Danio rerio: one gene and its partners. The protein of the gene in region 1 purifies or fractionates together with the protein of each later gene. This does not show direct contact. Links are inferred from orthologs where the notes say so. Each region holds a gene or a part of one and is shown on either strand. Other genes may lie near its edges.

Region 1 (8,216 bases):
GAAAGACCCGATTTCTCACTACATTTCTTTGTTGCTTGGTGACAGGATTCTTTTGAAACAATTTTCAATTGCTGAGAAGAAATATATTTACACAAACTGTCAGCTTTTTACGCAAGTTAATTTCTGAACTGTTGTCGTCTGTGTTTATACAATTCCTGTCCTTGTATATACAAACGTGAAATTTATTTCACTTCAAACTCACACACAAAACAAAACAGTCAAACTAGGACGTGTAAGACCGTCAGGACACGGTTACAAACCGATGAAGTGTCAGTCTGAAACTAATCGACGCATTTCATGGCGCGACTTGCAAAACCGGGAGCAAAGGTTAAGCGCTGATTCTGAACTAGGCTATTCGTCGACCTCATTCAAGAATAATTTCTGGAAAACACTTTCTGGCGACAAGTGGAGAGAAAGGAGATCAGCTGGGGAACTCTGTGTGTATCTGTGTGTGTTTTCTCCATGGTTGTTTCATTTTCACTGAAAGCTCCCAGAGCCCGAGGGGATCTGCAGGTTTGTGTGTGACAGGTTGAGCGGTCGCTATAGGTGGGAAGTAAACAGGAGGACGGGAGCACGAGCACCATCTGTTTACCGGGACAGGACCCAATATCGGGGAAATCCGGCCGGCCACACAGCGACAGGCTGTCGAAATCTAACTTTACCCCTTAACACAACATTCAAAACACTCAAGGTGACTTTTCTCTCACACAAAGACAAGGAAGTCCTCCACTCACCGGTAACTCCACATTGACATCCGATCCGTCCAGCAGCAGGACTCTGCATGTGATGGCGTCTTTGCTGTTGCCCGCTGCGGGGATGTGCACTACGGCTCCCCCGGTCACTACGGTCGGCGCGTGAATCACCTGCTGCTGGTGCGCCTGGAGCACTGCGTTTCCGCCTCTAACGTTACCGGTCCCGTCTACCTCGCTCGGCGGCCGAGCGTTTCTTTTTGACCGACGGCTAAACGTCCTGCGCAGAAAGCCCATCATCTTCCCCCGCGAGACAGCGCTTTAATTAATCAGGGAAAACGGCACCGATACCGGACCGCTCAAGAAGAAGGCATCCAGCTGTTTCCCAGGCTTTCCACGACGACGAAAGGCGGCGTCTACCGGACTCAGCCGTGCAATGCAGAGGGAAGAAGTCGGCGACCTGTCACGAGCTCCGTTTCCTCGTGTCGTACGGGCGACAAAACAAGAGCACACCTGCCAGAAGCCACGGGAAGATGAGGTACTCCGGTCCTCCCGCTCATTTAACCTCGGATTCGGCCAAAAAGTGATCGCGCTTTAATTAAACTTCTCCTTTCGCTCACAGAAGTCCAGGCTCAGCTGACTGATGTCGCGTTAGTTGCTCTCTGTTATTGACCGAAACTGATGTACCTCTCAGGTAAGTCAACCAGAGGAACTGGCCAGGCAACCTGTTCTGCGCAAGCGTTAAATCTCAGGGCAACACTCAAAACTTTTTTTTTCCCGTTTTCGGGTCGGTGTGTGCGAGGCAGCGCAACCTGCTGGTAAGCCAAACAGTGACCGGCGTCAGGTTACCTTCACTCGAGCCACCATCACTGAATACCCCAGCAACCAGCACAAATCAAGCAGCCTTAATACAATTGCGTCAAGTCTGCTGCGAGGAAACAATGTGCGCCAGTCGTCAGCATTTCACGCACGCTCATTTCAGCTCCCTCCCCTCCTCCAAAAGTCATCACCATGAATAAGAGAACAGGCACAACGTGATAAGAATTGCACATTTTATTTATTTATTTATTAACAGAGGTGAATTGAATTATTCTAGTTGTAATTTGACTGCACATAGGTCAGTCTCACAAAGTGTTCAGGTCACAATTTAGCTTTTTTTAAGTAAACAAAACAACAAATGTTTACATTTGTTCTGATGTAAATAAGGCTTATTCTATCAAATATTGATCTATAAATTGGTATCATGTTGCCCAAAAAATAATATTGTCACCAATTGTCATTTTATGCTGTGAATGACAACATTATTTTTTACAAACGACAGCCGTTTTCCCCCCACAAACTATACATGGCAAATCCAGAGAAACTAAGAATGTCCGAGAACACAAACATACATATAGAATATATTATATTAAAATATATATTTCTTCCGATAAATTTGAAGTTTAATGAGCTTATTGTAATCACCACAACTGTTTGTACCGCATGTGCTTTAAGACAGTTAAGCTCACTGTACCTCACCCCAGTTCCAATTATAAAACACAAAAACTAATTCTTATGACTGTAATATGACAAATGTATGTACATTTAAATATAATTGTTCGTGTAAGCATTTATGTAATTATGTAATTGCAAGAACATTACTGTAATACAGTGGTAAATAATACCTATACAAATACAATAGCCAAGGAGTTAATACAGTAATGAAAATGATAAGGGAGGGGTGGTAAATATGCACAATTGATCAGCAAATAATGTACTAATTTAATAAAATAAAATAAAATCACACTTGAAATTTTCTAAATAGATTGCATTTTATTTGACATTTTTATTTCCTTGTGTTTTTAGGATGAAATGTGACCTGAACATGTCTTGACAGATTTTGTGAGAATCACCTAAATATAGCACTGTGTTTGTGTGTGGGACAGAGCAAGAGAGAGTGTGCTGTAGGGTCCTATAAGCTTCTACGTGTCAAAGTGCTTCATGTTCTTCCTTGATCCGCACAGCTGTCAGGAGAGCCACAGCAAGAGAAGAGATTGCCCATCCGTCTTTTTCAAGGCACACCCTCTACTTCCTGCCTCGTTTTCATCCAGTCTTTACTGACAGCTGGATCACAGCGGCCGAGCTTCTTCCTTCACTTCTGTGTCCTCAAACACTCCTCTACCGTCCCCGTTATCAACTGTTAGGTTTGACTTTCTCTCTGTACACCCTCAGAATGGCCTCACACACAAAGGTGAACTGACACTGCAAAACAAACATGCACACAGGATAAGCAATGGCAGGAATCAGCGTAATATATTCAACCTTCCCACCTTTGCATAGAAAGCTATTTCAGACTGGGATTTTACATTCAAACCACCAAGAGTGACCCTTATAAGGGAATAAGGAAAAAGGGATTGTCCCAATGGAGCAAACAAATTGCTTTAAACAGGGGTGTCCAAACTCGATTCTGAAGGGCCAATGTCCTGCCGAGTTTAGCTCCAACTTGCTTCAACACACCTGCCAGGAAGTTTCTATTATATCTAGAAAGAGCTTGATTAGCTGCTTCAGGTGTGTTTTATTAGGGTTGGAGCTAAACTCTCCAGGACACCGGCCCTCCAGGACCGGGTTTGGACACCCCTGGCTTTAAACCTTCATTAATCTGTATGGCATGTATAGCTCTGGGGTCAGGACGTTCTCAGATATCATTCTCCTAAAATATTATGTTATTTATTTAAATACCATATGTTTTTTTAAAGGTAAATGTAGGTTATATGGTGCATTGTTCATTGCAGAACTCCTTTATTAAAAAAAGAAAGAAAAAAATTGTTCTGAAAAGATCAAGTCTCAGCCAGGTAATAAAAAGTAACACAAAAGTAACTCAAAAGTAACGTAATGCATTACTTACCATAACAAGTAACTAATTAACGCAACTAGTTATTTTTTTAAGGGAATAACTCAATGTTGTAATGCATTACTCACAAAAGTACCCTACACTGGTTTTGATAATGTTTTGGATCCTTTTCAGGACTTTGAACATTTCAGGACCGTTGCTGTATATGGAGGATCAGAGAGCTCTCAGATTTCATCTGAAATATCTTAATATATGTTCTGTGGATGAATGAAGGTCTTAGAGAATTGGAACGATGTAAGGGCGTGAAATTAATATTTTTATTTTTGGGTGAACTAACCTTTTAAAGCATCATTTTATTGCACATCTCATAATCCCAAGTCTGAAATAGCAAGTCAACCAGCTACTTTTACCCCAGCTAATATGGAAATACAATATTTTCCATTAAATAGATTGCACCTGACTATAAGCTGCATGGTCAAAACTGCATTGTTAAAAAAATACATATACATAGGTCACATTTTATAATTGAATTCTAATATAATAAATAGATACAAACAAATAAAAAGACACACAACAAATCATTTAGATGTAACTGTAATCAGAACAGAGGTTATTAAACATTTTAAGTAGAATAAAAAAAGAAACTAGTGGCTTTCATTATAAACAACATAAAATAAGTGTTAAGCCTACTGTAAATGAACATATGGTGAAATTGAAACTTCAGACATCTTGGAAATGTGCTATACAAAAAAAAATCTCCTCACTCTCATTCTCAGACATTATCATCAATATATTTTTTTAATATACATTGTCAATAAATAGCGTAATAAACAAGTGTATACTATTTCACAAATATGGCGGTTGAGATGGGCGAATGGGGAACATTGTTTCAATATAATAATAATTCAATATAATAATAGACTGGACATTTTTCTATCAGTCATCATAGATGATCAGTCATTATTTATCTGACAGGGTCAATATGGCAGATAGGCTACTCATTTGCTGGCATTGCTAAAACAGTTTTCAGAGATTTATAAACAATCTAAATTGGACAGAATTATTTTAAATATAATGTATTTATTATAATGAAGGAAATAATAGCAAGTTAATATGTATAGACCATTTTGAGGAATGTAAACAAAAACAATGGTTCCAACGTATTTCCTGTTTTACATGTTTAATTTCTGTAGCTGCCGAGAATCCAAACAGACCCACACATTGATAAATAATGTTATGATAACTGTTTTAACGTTGACATCAACACTGAAATGGTACATTTAATAAATGTTTAACACTACATTAATATTTTACTCCAGCGATTTAATAATATTTCTTTTGCTTAATTTTCTAACAACTTTTTTTTGTTAATTATTTCCTACATTAAATACTGTACTAATTTATAAGTAATATATTGTATTTATATTGTTACAAAGGGTTTTTAAACCATAAGGTACTGGTGTGTGTGTGTGTGTGTGTGTGTGTGTGTGTGTGTGTGTGTGTGTGTGTGTGTGTGTGTGTGTGTATATATATATATATATATATATTATTAACAGTTGCTACACTTTAGTATTAGTAAAAGATAAAGTAGTTTATCAGTTTATAATTATATTATTTTTAATTATTAACTATAGTAATTTATTTTAATGTGACACATTATTGTTTGTTTTTTATATTTACCTACAAAATGATTTTAACCAAGTATGACAACATTAAGATCCTGAAGAAGAGTAATCAGTCATTAACCATATATGGTTTGCCTAGATTTTGTGAGCTAGATTGTGTGTGTGCCTGAAACGTGTGTGTTTGGATATACAGTTGAAGTCAGAATTATGATTATCCCCCCTTTGATTTTTTTTATTTTTTTTAATAATTCCCAAACTATGTTAAACAGACCAAAGAACTTTTCACATTATGTCTGATAATATTTTTTTCTTCTGGAGAAAGTCTTATTTGTTTTTTTTCCGGCTAAAATAAAAGCAGTTTTTCATTTAAAAAAATATATATTTTTGGGACAAAATGATTAGCCCCTTTAAGCTGTATTTACTTTCTTTAGTCTACAGAACAAACCATCATTATACAATAACTTGCCTAGTTACCCTAACCTGCCTAGTTAACCTAATTAACCGACTTAAACCTTTAAATGTCACTTTAAGCTGTATAGAAGTTTCCTAAAAAATATCTAGTCAAATATTATTTACTGTCATCATGACACAGATAAAAGAAATCAGTTATTAGAAAAGAGTTATTAAAACTATTATGTTTAGAAATGCGTTGAAGAAATCTTCTCTCCGCTGAACAGAAATTGGGGGAAAAAATAAACAGGGAGGCTAATAATTCGGGGGGCTAATAATTTTGACTTCAACTGTATCTCGACTGGACACAACCAACTGGCTCTAATAGTTGAATAGGTTTGAGTCAAAATCAGCTGTTGGATGGAAAGACCATCTGTAACTTTTGAAACTTTATATTTTGAGTACGTGATTGTGTGTACGAAGTTGTACCGATGTCTGAACCAGCATGGCCCTCTGTTCTCTCATCAGGGTAATGACCTCTAGGGGATACACTGGCTTTTCCTTCTCCATCAGTGTCATGGCGGTCTCCATGGTGATCAAAACACCCGTCCGGCCGATGCCAGCACTGCAGGAAAAACACATTGGCTCTGTGTAAGACGAGCGCCCGATAACATCTGTCTGCCTGTGTGCTGGAAGTCCCCTCACCTGCAGTGGACCATTAGAGGCACAGACTCCTGCCTCATGCTTCTCACTGACTTGACAAAATCCAGGAAGTCTGAGGAATCTTCTGGTACCCCGTGATCAGGCCAGGCAACATACTGTAAATGAGTGATTGAGCGCTGCTGTCCTGACTGTAGAATGAAAAAACAAATAGAGTGAGAGAAAGGGCGAGGCTGAGTGCAAGAGAATGCTTGAATGAGTTCGCAAGAAAGCAGACAAGTCTAAGCATGCCTGTGCTTTTCCTTATCCAGAAAAAAAATGTATAAGAAATATTTCTTAGATGAAAGCATTGGGGATTTTCAGCGCCTATGTCTATTTATTAAAGGGCACCTATTTTACCCCATTTTCAAGATTCTTTTCAAGTCTTTTGTGTCTCGAGAATTTATCTATAAAGTTTAATCTCAAAACACCCATCAAATTATTTATTAAACCTTTCAGAAAATTGGGATTTTCTACTCTGAACAAAATCTAGCAGTTTTTGCTGCCTGTATATTTAATGCTAGTTCTCCCCACCCACCATTCCCACGTGCCTCTCAAAGTGTGCCTCAATCTCTGCCCTCGACTGAGTCAGATAAACAGCACAGTGACAGACATGAAGAAAGCAGATCTCACGTAATGTTTGTGAGAAATACTACGATAAACACTTTCCCAATGATTATTTGATGTATTTGTTGTGGAGTCAACGATGAGTCACACACACAATGTCATTACAAAGTTCACGCAGACACACACACACACACACACACACACACACACACACACACACACACACACACACACACACACACACACACACACACACACACACACACACAGCGCATGCGTTTAACTGCACTTTTTACACGCAAAAGTCACAGGACACACGTTAATATCCACTGCTAATATCCCTGGTTTCATCTTCATCCTCCTGCCAATGTAGATGTAGAACTGAAGCATCTAATAATAATTTACAATGAAGAAGGGCAGAGGGTTGCTGAATAATTACTGAGAGATTTCAGCTGTTGTCTGGCCTTTCACTGTCTTTCTATACCTTTTTTATTTGTGTCTTCCCTACTTTTTTCCCTGCGTCATTTTATTTTATTATGCATAACTTCAAATGCATAATATTTGAAAAAAATTCAAGTCAACAGCACTTATAGAAAAATGTTTTTTGAGAAAAATGTTTTCCCCACTGTAAATTGTTTTTGCACATATTTTTATGGATGACCTCTACTAATCAAGGAAAATGTTTTACAGACACAATTTTAAATATCCCTATATTTTAATAGTAAAATAAGGCATATTCTGATTACCTATTTACATTACATTTTTAGAATAAATTCAAAATAATTGGTTATAGGAGCACAAAAAATGCATAAATAAATAAATTCATTAATTTAAATCACACATGTTTTTCTATTGGAATTTTCATAAGTAGGCATGCTAAAAACCACTAGATTTTTCTGTTATACCGTTCCTATAGTATATATAAGGGCTTTTAAAATGTTTTTATGTGTTGTAAATAAATTTGTGTTTTTGAAACTAATGAATTATTTTAATAATTTAGCCTGACATTTTCTGAAATATTAAAGTTTCCTAAAGTAAAAAATATTGTGTTCAATGGGGTAAAAAAAAAATTACCCAAACATTAAAAAAAAAAACTTATTTTAGAGCAGTAATCACAATACTGTGATAACGTGAAACCATGGTATTTTTATTATTATTTTTTAAGATTTATTTTTGGCCTTTTTGCCTTTATTAGATAGGACAGTATTGAGACAGGAAGCGAAGTGGGAGAGAGAGAGAGGGGGTAAGGAAATGTCGTCGAGCCGGGATTTGAACTTGCGACGCCCTGACGTGCTATTGCACCATATGTCGACGCGCAAACCACTAGGCTATTGCGCCGACTAAACCGTAGTATTTTTATCCAAGCTTATACCATCCGAAACTATTCCGGCCCATGCCTACTCATAAGTGTATAAT
Region 2 (8,216 bases), on another chromosome or scaffold:
CAATCAATGTGACAGGTCATGTACCTCCTTCCTGTAGAGGACAGACGAACAAAGAGTTTGTTGGTGATGGGAATGACTTTCTGAATGAACACCTGTTGGTCATCTCTTTCTCCAAATGGGCCTGAATGCAGACATGAAGTTATATTTCACTGGTTTGCTCACAACAGCAGTGCAGTTTACAGAATAATGAAGAATAGCAGGTGGTTCTACCTAATTGTTAGTTCCTCCTAAGAAAGAAAACTACTCCCTCACCGATGTCATTTCCAGAGGAATAGCTGTTGTGGCTTTCTGTTTCCTCCAACGAGATGATCTTAAATGAGGCCAGCGGAGTCGATCCTGGCTGAGTGGAGATCATGCCTCTGAACCGCGTCACCGTCCATGTGCGTACATGGTTATTGTCAGCACACACTTCAACAAAACAAGACCGATATTACCCAGTGGAGGTCAGTGAAATTTTAAAAAAATTTTCTTGTTGCTGTACCATGCTATACTTGGACAAGATTTTGGAGAATCCTAGCACCCTACATGCTGTATATTGCCTAATAAGATCACAAATATAGACCTGTATGTATAGATTTGTATATAAAATACAAACAGCATTGTATGTAAAAAGAAGGATCTTAAAATTAACTCTGAATTTTATAGGAAGCCATTGCAATGAGACAAAGACAAGGGAGAAGTCAATGATTCATTTGAATTATTTAGCCTGACATGTTTACTGCTCCAACATATTTTAAATGTTTCCCAAAATAAAATATATTGTGTACAAAGGGGAAAATGTTTTATTTTTTTACCCAGACATTTAAAAATAATATATTTTAGGGCAGTAATCTCTTTTTTTTTTTTTTTTTTTGCAAAAATACCTCAGCACTATAGCCCAGCCTTATGCAGTTTGAGTGCTGGAATCTACACACTTCAAAAATCAAAAAACTTTATTGATGTAAGGGACTTGTCAGAGCTCGACAGAAACTTTATCAGTGCATGGATCAGTGAATCATGGTTGAAATTACGAGAGTTTTCCAAGATAAATAACAAAATGGGTGGGTGGCTGGAATGGGTCTGAAATACGGGAGGCTCAGGGGAAAAACAGGAGTGTTGGCAGGTATGCTTACACACACATTATGCACTCTGACTACTTCAATATAGTTGATAAGCCATGCTGGGCATTTCACTCTGTCTCTCACTGAATGCTGAAGACCAATCGCAATAGGCTGTCATCGGTCCAATCAGAGCAGATTAGCTTCGCGCTAAGGAGGGGTTTAGGAACAAATGAGTCGCTGAACGGTTCATATGGGAGTTGTTGTGACAGGTAAAAATAAATTCATATTATTAGACAATGACAACCCTTTTTAATGTATAATAGGAGCTCTTAAAAAATCTAGCAGCAGCATTCTAAACGATCTCTAACCGAGAAAGTGTTGACTGGGGAAGACCAATACTCATACAGTTAAAGTAGTCTAGCCAAGAGGAAATTCAAGTATGTATAACACTTTCTATAATTATATTGTCAGGATTACCTGAAACCAAATGCTTTTCAGAGAGCATGATCTTAGTGACGGGACTACGGTGAACAGTGAAGGTCTGGAAGAGCTGTGGACCTGACCCAACCGTTTCTGGATGCTGTACAATGACACGCACAGCCCCTGAACTCGTCCCGTACGCGATCTCAATCCAGTTCCCACTCACACCTGCAAACACAGAGATCAGTGACTGGACAGACTCACCACTACAGTGATCATACAGTTAGTGTAATTAACTATCACTGGACGCACTGGTTTTAGGAGTCAGGTAGACACTGAGGGCCGTGATGGCATCATTTGAAGGGTCGTGATATAGCTCTGTCACCAGCAAATCATTGTCCTTCATTCTCAGCGGAAACTTCTGCATGTCTAAAAGTGGAGAAAAAATAGGTGTTTAAAATGATGATATTTAAAACAGGAATTATTAGTCGTTTACAGTTTTATGGAATGTTTTTTTACAATAATGATATGGAGAAATATCAGAATCTGATTTATTGCCAAGTGTGCTTTACACACTCGGGGAATTTTTTAAATTTTGTAAAAATAAATATGAGAAAAGACGACAAACTTAAGACAGAGATGCAATTATTAGACAGAAGAGCTCTAGATAAAACAAGTGTATGTACACCTTTGTTATAAATATACAAGTTATAAGGTGCTGTGTATGCATATGAGAAAGTATTGCATTATATATTGTTATAAGGTGCTGTGTACAAGTCCGTATGAGAAAGTATTGCTCATGTTTATTGCAGAATATGAGTATTTAATTTTTCATGAGGTGAATGGCCTGAGAAAAGAATTTTCTTCTTTACTATATAGTTATATATATATAGATAAACATATAGATATTGCTGGCAGCTAACTCTCTGCAACTCTCACTTGGTCACCCACTGAAGCTAAGCAGGACTGCGCCCAGTCAGTACCTGGATGGGAGACCACATGGGAAAGCTAGGTTGCTGCCGGAAGTGGTGTTAGTGAGGCCATTGGGGGCGCCCAACCTGCGGTCTGTGTGGGTCCTAATGCCCCAGTATAGTGATGGGGACGCTATACTGCTCAGTGAGCGCCGTCTTTCGGATGAGACGTAAAACTGAGGTCCTGACTCTCTGTGGTCATTAAAAATCCCAGAATGTCTTTGAAAAAAGAATAGAGGTTTCACCCCAGCATCCTGGCCAAATCTGCCCACTGGTCTCTGTCCATCATGTCCTCCTAACCCTCCCCATATCATAATTGGCTTCATCACTCTGTCTCTTCTCCACCAATCAGCTGGTGTGTGGTGTGTGGTGTGTGGTGTGCGGTCTGGCGCAAAATGGCTGCTGTCACGTCATCCAGGTAGATGCTGCACACTGGCCCAGAAAAGCGCTATATAAATGTAGGGAATTATTATTATTATTATATAGTCATAGATATAGTTATAAATGTATTGTGTAACAGATGGATCTCAAGAAAGGCGACATGGTGGCTCAGTGGTTAGCACTGTCACCTCATAGCAAGAAGGTCACTGGTTTGAGTCCTGGCTTGATCAGTTGACATTTCTGTGTGGAGTTTACATGTTCTCCGCGTGTCGCGTGTGTTTCCTCCGGGTGCTCCAGTTTCCCCCACAGTCCAAAGACATGCGCTATGGGTGAGGTGAGTGTGTATGGATGTTTCCCAGTACTGGGTTGCAGATGAAGGCCATGATATTTGATGGCCATTAAATATATGCGTCATATACAAATATATTCACTGCAATCTAGGAGAAGTTAAGCAGCTTACCAATATAGTAAATGGAGCCGTTGTTACAGCCCAGCAAGAGGAAAGAGCCAGCAGTGTCACAGCTTGTGATGGGCACCACATCCTGTACCTGTACAAAGAAATACATTGTAAACAACACAATCAAATGTGAACGTGATAATCTGTTCATTTGTGATGATGTATGGAATACTGTTTCTGGGTCCAAGCCTCTGCTCGCCTGAATTAAGAATCTCAATAGTTCTTTATAATCCCTTTTTTGTTGCATCACATCACAAGTAATTAAGCAGGTCGCACACCAGAAGCGCCACTCGGCGCCGCGACACGGCGCGTACATGACAGTTTAAAGTATGACACACCAGACGCGCACATTCGAATGATATTTAACATGAAACTAATCAGATGGCGCTCTGTGGCGCGGCTGAAAAATGAACTGCGTCCTGAGCCATCGCCGGGCGCCGCCGACTTGCGGCGCCGGTGTGTGTATCCTGATAGAAACCTATGTTTAGAATTCTAAAATACATGGTGTTGCGTGGCGCTGCGCGGCGCGCCGCTGAGTGGCGCTTCTGGTGTGCGACCCGCTTTAGGCTGCATTTGCACTGCAGATCTTGATGGTCAATTCCAATTTTGTGACTGTATCCGATATTTTTGATGGCCTGCTTACATCATCTTTTAAAAGTGACTCATATCTGATCGTCTGCATTTACACTGCACAAGGCAAAGGTGAAATGATCAGGACAAAAAAAAAAAAGAGCAGGCGCTGACTAACAGCTGATAATTAAAGAGTGCTCTTTTCTCTATTCCTGTATGTAATCTGTTCACAGCTTTTTACAAGCTGTTTTACTATGATTTAGGACAGAAAGGTTCTCATTTGTCAATCTTCTTTTGACATATAGGCTTTTTTAAACCTTTAGGTATCTTGATGTCCATGGCGTGATTTATGCACATGATGTAGCTGTAACGAAGGGTCTGACACAGAGGGATCCATTTGCAGTATATTTATTAAACAGAGTTTAATAACAATAAGCAAACAGATGTTAAGCGTGTGCGAACTCACATCACACACAGTTGTAGTTAGTCGAAGGGCTGGTGGCAGGCAAACACAAGGTGAGTATTCAGGCATGGGTCAAAGGCAGGCGGCGAGGATCAAAGTTGATGTACAGGCTAGAGTTCAGGGCAGGCGGCAGGCAATACAAGGTCGAGATACAGTCCGGGGTTGTCAGCGGGAAAGCAGGCAAGGATCAGAAACGCTCAGTAGTGTTAGCCGGGGCAGAACAAGACTTCGCACTGAAGCAGCGTGTGTGTGCTGCTTATATGTGTGAGGTGAGTGATTAAGAAATGCGCTGCAGGTGTATGTGCCAATCAGTCAGTGGGAATGACGTAATGTTAAAAGTCAGGTGATGATGACCTCTGCTGGGCAGCGAGGGCAATGACTGGGACCGAGTCGGTGACAGTAGCTATGCACTAGTTTTATATTAGTTTAAATTGGTTACGTGGCGGACACTGCGCTCTCTCGCTCTTGTTAACATGCTTAAATACCTGTGCTTTATGACAATATAAAAGCTGTTTAAGTTCTCGTGTCAGAGATTTAAGGTTTGGGACTCTGCTGAAGTCTGTTCTGAAATTAAATTGTCAGACTTGACGTCATTCGCTACAGTTTTTAATGACGCGCGACTTGCATTGGTGAAAATCCAATCAACCTGCTAACACTGCAGACACGAGAACACAGATCAGATTCATATCGGATAAATTTCCACATATGAACAAGGCCTGAAACTGATTTGAGTAAATCAGAATCCATGTGATTTGTTCCTGCTTACACGTACATGGGCCATATCCGATCTGTGCCACATGGGAGAAAAAATCGGAATTGAGTCACTTGAACAGTGCAGTGTAAATGCCGCCTAAATATTTTAACAACTTTCAAAAGATCAATCACACAATCAAAGATCATCTGAGATTAAACTAGGATTTAAACATTATGATCATGATCCCTTAAACCTATGGTCTCAAACTCAATTTCTGGAGGGCCGCAGCTCTGCATAATTTAGTATAGTTCACACCTGCTTAACAGTCTCAAGTAGTCTTGAACACCTTGATTAGTTGGATCAGCTGTGTTTGATTAGGGTTGTAGCAAAACTGTGCAGAGCTGCGGCCCTCCTGGAATGCAGTTTGAGACCTGTGATTGAAACAGTATTACAGCACACTGTACATTTGTTGTTCATTTTTGATAAGAGAGTTTAGACCCAGTAACAGCTTTAACAAGTAATAGATATACTTTAAATCTGAATTGTTTACCTGCCAGTGCTGTGTGACGGCGTTCCAAACTCCTACCTTCCCCGTGTGACTGGTGGCAACTAGCTGACTCCCGATGAAAAATAGAGAATCAACAGGTACACCAAGACTGAACACTCCTTCATAAAGACAGAGAAACATTGACTTAAACAAATGGTAATTGGGGATTTCATTTCTGTTCTGTCCACTAGTGTTGTCAAAATGATTTTTCAATAGTAAACAGATTATTCTTAGTGACAGCAGCAACTTGATGTCATTAGCATTACTCAGCAACAAAATACAAAAGTACCGTTAGACCTACGTTAAGAATGTTAAGTAATGTGGTATATCTGTGTTGACTGTTCATGTGTGTGTAGGAACCCCAAGCACAAACATGCATTTGAGCCAGAGATTATAACAAAATAGTATCCAATCAGAAAGCAAGAAGACAGAAGGAGAAAGAATAACAAACACAGTCATGGCTTAGCAAAAAGCAAAATGGCGAAAGTGAAAGCTTGGCGATATGAGGCATTTAAGTCAAATCAACTTGTTGCTTTCAAGGCAACTGGTTTACTCACTTTAAACTAATAGAAAGTAACTAATTGCTTTTTACTTGTTGTTGTTACTTCTCCAATACTGAAATTGGAACAGCTTCAAAACAAAACAAATAATTTATATGAGTTTATTTATAGTGCCTATAGAAAATCATCATATCCTGGGAAAATCTCTTTATCTTCGGGATAAAGTTGTAGAAAGGCACAGATTAGGAAAAGAGGCTACAAAACAATTTAGGCTAGGAAAGTTGAAAGAGCATGATTTGATTTCAGGCTGTTTGACAAATAAAGTCACTATTTCAAAGTGGTGTAATGATTTTCTACAGGCACTCTATTCTTTTATTAATATTTTTTTCTGGATGGGCCAGGAAACATTGTGGCAGGACGAGTGAAAATCTGAACCACTGGCTTGACTGGAGTAAGAGTAAAAAACACTTTATAGTTTGCACATGAAGAAATTAAGACATATCTATATATATTATATATATATATATATATATATATATATATATATATATATATATATATATATACATATACATACAGTTGAAGTCAGAATTTTTTCCCCCCACTTTTTTTAAATATTTCCCAAATTATGTTTAACAGAGCAAAGACATTTTCACAGTATGTCTGATAATATTTTTTCTTGTGGAGAAAGTCATATTTGTGTTATTCAGGCTAGAATAAAAGCAGGTATTCATCTTTTAAACACCATTTTAAGGACAAAATTATTCGCCCCTTTAAGCTAAATTTATTTTTGATAGTCTACAGAACAAACCATCGTTATATAATAACTTGCCTAATTACCCTAACCTGCCTAGTTAACCTAATTAACCTAGTTAAGCCTTTAAATGTCAAATATATATATATAAATATATATATATATATATATATATATATATATATATATATATATATATATATATATATTGTAATTTTGATGAATGCTTTGGCAATATTTCCCTATAGTATCGAAAATGGTATCGAGTATATATATTGTAGAATTCCAGCACTGTAACATTGCTGTCCACCCACCTATTTCACTTCCATTCCCTCCATCCTGGATGCTCCACAATATTATTCTGTTCTCTGATGATGCCGCCACCATCTTGTCTTTATCGCCATGTGGTCCGCCAACAACTTTAGCATTGAGAGCCACACGCTCAATGGCCCATTCCAGGTAAGGGCTGGAAAACACCTGCTGCCAGCCTGAGGATTCCTTTATCCTACAGTAAACAACCAATATTATTGTTTTATTATTTTTATTATCACCAAAATTATTGTTATATTATCAAAATCACGTGACATGTAGCTTTACCTGTAGCAAATGACAAAATGTGCATAAGCAGCTACAATCCAGTTATGATGTCCAGCGACAATCAGCACCTTCCTAGGGTCCACTGGCGATCCTGTTATAGCATTAAACACACAGAAAAACACAGTGCGTTTTAAAGAGCCCATATTATGGGTTTTTGAAAATTCCCCTCCATGTAGTGTGTAACACAACTCTAAGTGAAGTGAAGTATCCAGCTAAGGCTTAAATCTGTAAGAATACAGTGTTTAAAACGGTTGATTCGTCTATAAAAGAGTCGACTCATAGTGCTTCAAACGAGTCGCCTTGATACCGAATCATTAGGTGTTTCGCCATGACGTACGAACGAAACCAAGTTATTCACGTGCACGCGCAAACCCGGGAGATTTCAAACCTGAGGCCCCGCCCTCTGACACAGAAACCCAGTCACACACACACACACACAAACACACGCACACAAGCATGCCGGTCGATTGAAGTCACACTGCAGATGGATATTAACGAGGGTCTACCCAAAGTTGAAACATCAGCATTATGACCAAGCAGTTGGAAACTACTGGAAACTTCTGGAAGCTACATGCTACACAGAATACTTCATCTGAGTTTGTTAAAGGAAGGATCAGTAAAGAGTAACTTACTGATGGACGTCAGGATGGGTTTCTTCCATTTCTCAAGTGTAAGTACGTGCGATTAAAGTTGTTGCCTCGTTGACTATAGCTTGCAAATGTATTTAGTTGTGATTTATTACTTGTAACCGCGTGTACTGTATCAGGTTAACTGGCTATATTCTCTTATCGCGTGCAAAGTCACGTTAAAAACGCAACGCGT
Region 3 (8,216 bases), on another chromosome or scaffold:
CCAAATAAAAAAAAATGTGGTAAACTATAACTTTAGGTCTACCTCCATTTAACAAGTCTAGGATGATATTATTTCTCAGATGTTCATTCATTCATTTATGTTTTACGCAGCAGATGGCCTTCCAGCTGCAACCCATCACTGGGAAATTCCCATGCACTCTCATTCACACACATAAACCATGGATAATTTAGCTTACCCAATTCACCTATAGCACGTGTCTGTGGGCGAAACTGGAGCACTGGGAGAACATGCAAACTCCACACAGAAATGTCAACTGGTCCAGCTGAGGCTCGAACCAGCGACCTTCTTGCTGTGAGGTGACATCACTACCCACTGCACTACCGCGCCACCTTCTTAGATGTTGCTTTTTTTAAAATCCTTTGTTAATCCTTCCTGATCCTTAGAATAAAGTTTGCTCAAGCAAGTGAAAACTGTACAAATAAGAATACACTGTTGATACAGTATACAGTGATAAAGATCAAGGGTAATCATTTAACAAATCAAAAAAATTAATTGTTAACACTTTCTAAAAAGTCTGTATTTTAAATGAAATAAAATAGCATTAATGTATTATTATAAACAACATCATAATGTGTTGTAATACCTTTTGAGTAATTGTAAGGACAGTAAATGCTGCTATTGCACTGCTGGTTAGACCTAAACTGCATTTCGTTGCATTGTACTTGTACATGTGTAATGACAATAAAGTTGAATCTAATCTAATCTAAATAATACTGAACAAAATTTTATATGCTGATTGGGCTAGTTCTCCCAAAAATGAAAATTACCTCATCATTTACTCTACCTCATGTGGTTTTAATCCTTTATGAGTTTCTTCTGTTAAACACAAAAGAAGATATTCTTCCATAGTAGAAAAAAAACCATGGAAGTTAATGGGTGCCAGGAACCAGCATTTTTCTAAATATCTTCTTTTGTATTTAACAGAGGAAAAAGAAAAAATCATGTAGGTTTTGATCAATTAAAGGGTGAGTAATTCAGTATAACAGCCTGATCTCACGAGAAAACGTAAGTATTTTATGTTTTGTCAGTTTAGTGGCTAATTCATATAATACACAGTCAGAAATGTCATAATTAAAGTGATGATCTAAATAGCAATGCAGCAAACTGACACTTTTTAAAATAAAATAATTGTTCACACAACACTATAATCATGAATGATAATTGATTCAGTATAAATGGTGCAATACCATTTTAAATGTCTTTTTATCTTGTTTATCTTGACATTTTAACCCCTGTTAATGTCACCTCAAAAACAATTAACATCCATAAGTAAACCTACAGAACACACTATAAATAAACCCACTTATTTGCTTTTAAAATTATTAATTATGAATTTAAAGGGCACCTATGATGAAAATCAACTTTTGGAAGCTCTTTGGACAGAACTGTGTGTATGTTTAGTGAGTCATATTGGAGTCATATAAACACAGTAAGTCTCTTTTTTTAAAATTTCCTGACGTTAAAATAGAACCAAAAACCAGTGATTTTGAGATCCACCGCAACGTGAGGTGGGAGTGCAATTTTTACCTCACAAAGAAATGATTGACAGGTTGCATGTTTCTAAAAAAACATGTACACACGTCCACAGAATAATTATTTTGCAGATAAACTGGGATTAAAATATGTTTCAACTCTCTGTGATTTTTATAAGTTTTATAAGTTTAAAACGTCTCAAAAAAAGCATGTTTGTAATAAAGTAAAATCACTATGTAATTCTTAACAGCTGTAATCATTATGGCAGCACAGTGTCAGTAAACGCATATGTGTGTGTGTGTGTGTGTGTGTGTGTGTGTGTGTGTGTGTGTGTGTGTGTGTGTGTGTGTACTGCAAATGGAATTTCGTTTCAGAAAGGCTTGAATTAATGCCACCAAAAATACATGAAATAAACTGACTAGATGTTTTTGACAAATGAGCTGTATTTCAGCTTCATCGGTGGCGGACAATCACTGATGACTGTTTATCTAACGTAACACATACAAAAGCAGACATGCACGTGGCAGTGGTGGGCAGGGAGAAGCAGTTCATTTGCATTTAAACCCACAGGCTATAATTACAGCCACACTGTAGTCAAGACACCAAAATGGGCAGATTCTGGAGGCTATAACAAATTATCTGATGGGTATTTTGAGCTGAAACTTTACAGACACATCATCACCTTAGAATTATAAGGTTCTATGCGCGTTTGGAACGATTTTGAAGTATTGAGCTTCAAAGTTTTTGCATTCCATAGCAAACAGTATGTGTGTAACAATTGATTTTTAAATAAAAAGTCTTAAAATGTAAACAACTTTCCATAATGAAAATAATTTGTCAATAATTTGTCACAAGAATATATCAATAACTCAATTTTGACAAAAATGTCAGATAGAATCTTATAATTATAAGGTGACGACATTCTAGAGACACCAAAGGCTTATCTTACATCTGTTAAAAGGGGTAAAATAGGTGCCCTTTAAAAAATAAGCGTTAAATCTTATGTCAGTTTGGTTTATCAAATATAAAGCTCTAATATTTTACATTTAACGTACATTGCATTGCTCAGATAATTTACTGTAATGCTGAAAGAACCAGACAACAATCGTTCATTCTTAATCCTCATTCTTTTGATTGGCAGGTTGAGACATTGATTTTGTCGTGTTTTCTTTTCTTCAGAAGCTTAAAAGGTAATTCTTTGGACAATAATCTTTAAGTAGGAGACATTGATTCTTAAATCTAGGAGAAATATTTAATATAAGACCACCATATTTATCAAAGTGAACACCTTTCATATAGACAACTTTAATCAACTCAATCACAAAGTCTTGTTTAAGAAATCAAGCATAAGGTCAGAAAACAGTCAGACTCAGATTAAACTCACCATCCACATTATAGACTTTCAGCCCGGCCAGATGTTTAGCCGCCCTGGACTTAGCAGCTGTCAGTAGGGCAGGGTTGTGAACTGTGAAATCCTTATAATAGTGCTCAAGAATTACCAGGGCTGCCCGCTGAATACTACACAGAAAAAAAAAAGAGAGAGAGAGAGAGAGAGAGAGAGAGAGAGAGAGAGAGAGAGAGAGAGAGAGAGAGAGAGGGTGAGAGAAACCTTGTAATGTTCACTGATAATAGGGGTTTGGTTGTCTATTCAAACACAATCCCATCATGCATTTCATTAAACGGACATCAGATACTAACAGATTTCCCTCTGACATATGTGTGTGTGTGTTGTTGCTTGACTCTGCAGCAGCACTGAATCAGAAATGTTCAGCCAATGAAACAATGAAAGCAGGAACAAAGGAAAGCGTCGGGCAGGAGAAAGGAAGGGAGAGGGGAAGCAACGCAGGGCAAAGTAGGGAGTGTCTGTAATGGAGTGATTAATGGACCATTTTCCCTTGGCCCAAACTCAACTCATTATTAATACATTAAACAGCACACACACACATACACAGTTTATGTATGTAGACAATATCTCAGCCCAATTAGAGGCAAAACTATCCCTGGGAAAAAAAAAATTACCACAAAAAAAGTTTTTTTAATTTATGCTGTAGCTGTGTTATTGTTTTATTGTTTTATTTCTGCTGATGATGACACTTCTTCTGAATTTAAATTCGTAAAAAAATATTTTTTAAAATGTTGTTAGATGATTTAGCATTTTTGCCATGTAACAATTCTTTGTCATCGTGATCGGCTGATACCGAATACAGATTCTGATGCTTTAGGCTTTATATAACCTAAATATTTTTTAAAGCACATTTTCCCTCTAAGTATGATCCTGATGTTGAGATCTCAACTTACCTAAGATAATAAATGAAGGATGTTGCATATAATCCTTTCAACACATCTCTTATAACCATTTAGTGTGGACATGTCATGGTCAAAAGCAGCTTTACTCTATCTGTAAACGAACACTTGCGATCGGTTCATGTGATCGGCCAGATTAGAGACTACCGATTATATAAAAAGTGATTATCGGCCGATACTGATCTCTGGCCGATCGATCAAAGCATCCTTATAATTTTCTGAAAAGAAAAAAAGAAATCTGAAAGATATAATTACTCAACCCCCTACTTATAAATACATAACTACACACTTTTTTTCTTCCACGGCTGCACATAAAGACAGAAGTACTAAACAGAGCAAATTAACATGAGTCTGCAATATCCTAAAAGTGCTGATGGGAGTGTGAAGTTAATCAGTTGTTTCTACTGACAATTTGGCAAATTGAAGAAGCCAGACACAGAATATATTTCTATAATCCCAAAAATAATCTGACAAGAGTTCAAAAGACCTGTTATTGCTTTTTAATAAAATGTAACACTAATTTAAGACTTAAAAACTTTTACTTCTCTGCCTCCTTCCAGCAGCCATGTCAAGAAAAAGGGTTAAGACATGCTTTATATGCATTAAATGTCACAAATGCCAGTATATAGACCTTAGCAAATAACCTTGCCACCCGTTTCACAAAACTTAAAAAACGAACTACCGCTTACAGTATGCGAGGTGTTAGCGTCTATGGGGCTGAGATTAATTTGACATTATTCTCTCCTCTGGCTGCCGTCATCAGTCTCACACTATTTTTTTTTATTTTTTTGAAAGTGTTATTAACACCATCATGAAGTTTTCTTTTATTATTACAGCAAACAGGGCTGTAAAAAATATTTGTTGTACTCTCCCATTTACTGCGCTTTAAGTTTACCCAACCATGATGCCTTCTACTACTGAGAAACCTGGAAATGTGAAAAGGGTTCATACTCTCCTCTTGTAGTTTTTGTAAATTCCTGCAACTAATTGTTCTATAAGAACACTTCACATCACTTTTTCTGTCTTTAATAATTGCTGACAGAAGCATTTTTGTACCAAAATTAGGCAAACTGTTGGTAAATCTGGGATTTAGTTGGTTTAATAAACATTATCAAAAATAAAAAGTATGCAACACTTCTTGGATTTCAATAAGGAACTGCAAATGCTTGTTTATTTGTTAAAGGTGTTTATTTGTATCAAGTTTCTTGAATATGTCAGTTCACAGAATCAGAAGTAGAAAATTTTTGGAACTTTTTTGGTACTCTAGAGTGAATTGAGTTTAATTGGAACTTATAATATACAGAACTATAAAACATTTAAACAGCATATATCATATGTTTTTAAGTTAGTTTCACAACCTAATCATGAGAGGAGCATGTGACATGATTGATCGTGGCTGGTCTCTCATCCGCACTCATTAATAAACCAATCAGATTATTCCAAACTTAATAAATAACCTGTATCACCTTACTCCCTTATCTTTGACCAGGCAAGAGCTCTGGTTGGGTTCTCTTCCAGGACAGCATGCCAAACCTGCTATTATTATCAAGCAATATCTAAGTGTGAACTCTTGCATTAGTGTTTGTTTATAAATATCAGCTGGTACCTGAGTTGTCCCATGTTATAGTGGTGAGTTTCTCCATCAGTGGAGCGAACGACACATAGAGAGAAGCAGGGCTGCAGATGTCGGATCTCCAGCAGAACCACTGCCAGGTAATGGATGAACAGCAGAGCATCCACCAGTGATACTGCAAACTGCACTATGCCTTGGTAGTTATCATCCTGTCAATCAAACACAGTGCAACAATACACCAAGGGGATCAAAAAAACCTGCACTGGGTTCAGTGGTGTTCTTCAAAGAAAATAGATGCTGTTTTATCTTCATTTTCAGGATATATATAGTATAGTCCCACTTTGTAGTGTATTGTACTGCTTATTGGGTGAAGAGCTTAGGTTTAGGGTAGGTGTAATTATAGTTGAAACTACAGAAATTAAATACTGATTTAGATGCAGGAAATTATTTTTCAATATTAATACAATGTGAAATACATTAATGTGAATGTACTGTGTTAAAAGATTATATTAAATGTACTGTAAGTAGGCCAACATAGTTCAATGCACTAAATATAAAGTCCTTTCATTTTAGGGATGTCCAGATTCAATTACATGATTGGAAATCAGACCCAATCACATGGTTTCATACTCGCTTGGAATTGGATGTTACCTCCCGATCAGGACTCGAATATATATGTACATTATTTTTTAACACATCTATAGTTATGCGTTGGCACAGAGCTAGACCTCTTTCATGACTTCACACAGAAACAGCAACGCATCCGGCATGACATCACTTTGTTGCAGAGACGCTATTGGTTAAATGCCGGCAAAGTAGAACTGATGTTATTTATTACTTAAATGTTTAATCTACCTCACAGAAGTGCTGTGTTTGTAAATAGAAGTGTTGAATGTTAAAATAAGGTAAATTAGACATAAAAAATATAGAACATCATGGATCTGTTCCTTCTCTCTTCTTTATTCTTTTTATGGATTATAGAAGTATCGGATCGGGTTTTGGTATTAGTAGATACTCAAAATCAAATGACTCAGACTTGAGGGCAAAAAAATCTGATCGGGACATAGTATTATTACATTTGTTTCTACAGAAATATTTCAAATTCTTCAATGCAGTTAAACTCTCATGCACTTTTATAATCAAAAATCTGAATCCTACACGTTCAAATGTCAAATTTAAGAAAAATTCATGGAAGATAAAAAAAGTTTCTACTACTAATAAGAAGAACTTCAAAAACTCCTAAACCTTGAATGCTGATGTAAGCATCATATTACATATATATTCTTAACTTCTTGTAAATTATACTGTTAGATGTGTAATTTAAGTGCAGCATCACAAAGAATAATAATCACATGTGTATGTTAGAGTATCTACTCTAATAAAAGACAATTTGCACATCTACAATTTAGCAGATCTCATCAAGAACATGTTTCTCTTGCCACTTTTTTTATTTTCAGACATGTGCCCTTACCTGTGAGTCCAATATGCGCACTCCAAAAAACAGCCAATAGGACAGCAGCAGGAGGAGTGTCAGTAAACCCAGCAGGGCACGAAACACTGCTATCCTGGGCAGAGAAGCTCTTGTCGGCCGCATAAACAGAGCCCAGCCGGCCAGCAGCAGGATGAGGAGCTTGAAGGCCAGTGAGAGAAACAGGCCTTCACATGCAGTACCGCAAGTCTGCAGGCGCTCCGGCCACATTAACTGTGGCAAAATCAGGAAGGACAGAGGGGTGACCAGGACCAGCAGACCCAAGAGGAGGGTCAGGGCCAACGGAAGGAAGCGTATACAGTTTAATTTCTCAACTGGACCCTCCGTGTCCTTCCCAAAGCCTGCCAGGTCCTCTTGAGACAAGCTGTGGTCTGATGTTCCAGTGACCGCCGTGGTGGTTTCACCCCAGTTGTCATCCTGTCGAGAGATCAGTCGCTTAGATCACACGCATAAAAAATTCAACATGCTCCTAAAAGCCCCATTCATAACCCAAGCGCAGCACTCAGCTATTGATCAGCCCACGTTTCCCTCGGTGCTGATGAAATGACAAATCTGTTAATCCAGACAGACAGTATGGAAGTACCCAGGTCTCCCTCATCAGCATATATTAATGACAAATACTCAAAACTCACATACATCTGCATATGAATGAGCCGGAGAACTGAGAGGCTGACTGACAACAAATGAAAACGTTTTAACAGTAAGACGTCTGAGCGAACGCCGTCGGAATGTGAAATGCCGCGCAAATTAGAATTCCATTATGGAATATTATACGCAGTAAGAACAATAATTCATCTGCAACTATATTTATTTATGGATTCGTCTGGTTATTTATGGATTTATTTCTATGGGGAGAGACTGTGTTTTGTATGGTAATGTAGTTTAGCCAATTTAATCAGAACTGAGAAAGTTTCCATTTTCTGGAAAATGGTAGCAATAATATTATCATAATAATAACAGACAAAACAAAAAAGTGCAGCACACAGAAATTACTGGAATCTAAATGACCTGAAGAACCAAAAGTCATGATTTTTTTTTTTTTTTTTTGGACAAAGTAAGGCCCGATCCCAATTCTATTTTTGTACCCCTTCCCCTTTACAACCGAGGGTTAAAGGGAAGGGCTTCAAAATTTACCTCTAAAAGAACTGGGACAGCACTACAGCACCTGCACACGTCATCATATGTCATCTTGGTTTATGTGAGATCAGACGAATGCGACTGCTGTAGTTATTCTAGTTGCGTTATTTTTGGTATTTATCTTTAGGAAATCACTAAAGGCATATATCATGTTATCATAATAATCGAATGTGGCTATAAGATCATAACTATACTGTGTATTTACACAGTGGCCATATT

The links.
Region 2: the proteins of ptpn3 (region 1) and kctd3 purify together in Homo sapiens (affinity purification with mass spectrometry; 4 studies listed by BioGRID and IntAct, with this or other methods). This does not show direct contact. The link is inferred for Danio rerio from reciprocal best matches to the Homo sapiens genes PTPN3 and KCTD3.
Region 3: the proteins of ptpn3 (region 1) and vangl1 purify together in Homo sapiens (affinity purification with mass spectrometry; 4 studies listed by BioGRID and IntAct, with this or other methods). This does not show direct contact. The link is inferred for Danio rerio from reciprocal best matches to the Homo sapiens genes PTPN3 and VANGL1.

The regions. Positions count from the first base shown.
Region 1 is NC_133191.1:29,717,207-29,725,422, reverse strand, and holds the end of ptpn3 (tyrosine-protein phosphatase non-receptor type 3), read right to left. Parts: intron 6,386-8,216; coding exon 6,240-6,385; intron 6,160-6,239; coding exon 6,024-6,159; intron 2,931-6,023; coding exon 2,862-2,930; 3' UTR 2,482-2,861; downstream 1-2,481. Other genes in the region: epb41l4b (band 4.1-like protein 4B), read right to left, coding at 735-989.
Region 2 is NC_133192.1:30,814,459-30,822,674, reverse strand, and holds part of kctd3 (BTB/POZ domain-containing protein KCTD3), read right to left. Parts: intron 7,486-8,216; coding exon 7,395-7,485; intron 7,303-7,394; coding exon 7,112-7,302; intron 5,663-7,111; coding exon 5,547-5,662; intron 3,361-5,546; coding exon 3,273-3,360; intron 1,890-3,272; coding exon 1,773-1,889; intron 1,689-1,772; coding exon 1,518-1,688; intron 409-1,517; coding exon 253-408; intron 122-252; coding exon 25-121; exon of another isoform or gene 1-24. UniProt on the Homo sapiens protein: Accessory subunit of potassium/sodium hyperpolarization-activated cyclic nucleotide-gated channel 3 (HCN3) up-regulating its cell-surface expression and current density without affecting its voltage dependence and kinetics.
Region 3 is NC_133184.1:34,727,250-34,735,465, reverse strand, and holds part of vangl1 (vang-like protein 1), read right to left. Parts: intron 7,278-8,216; coding exon 6,843-7,277; intron 5,581-6,842; coding exon 5,405-5,580; intron 3,013-5,404; coding exon 2,879-3,012; intron 1-2,878.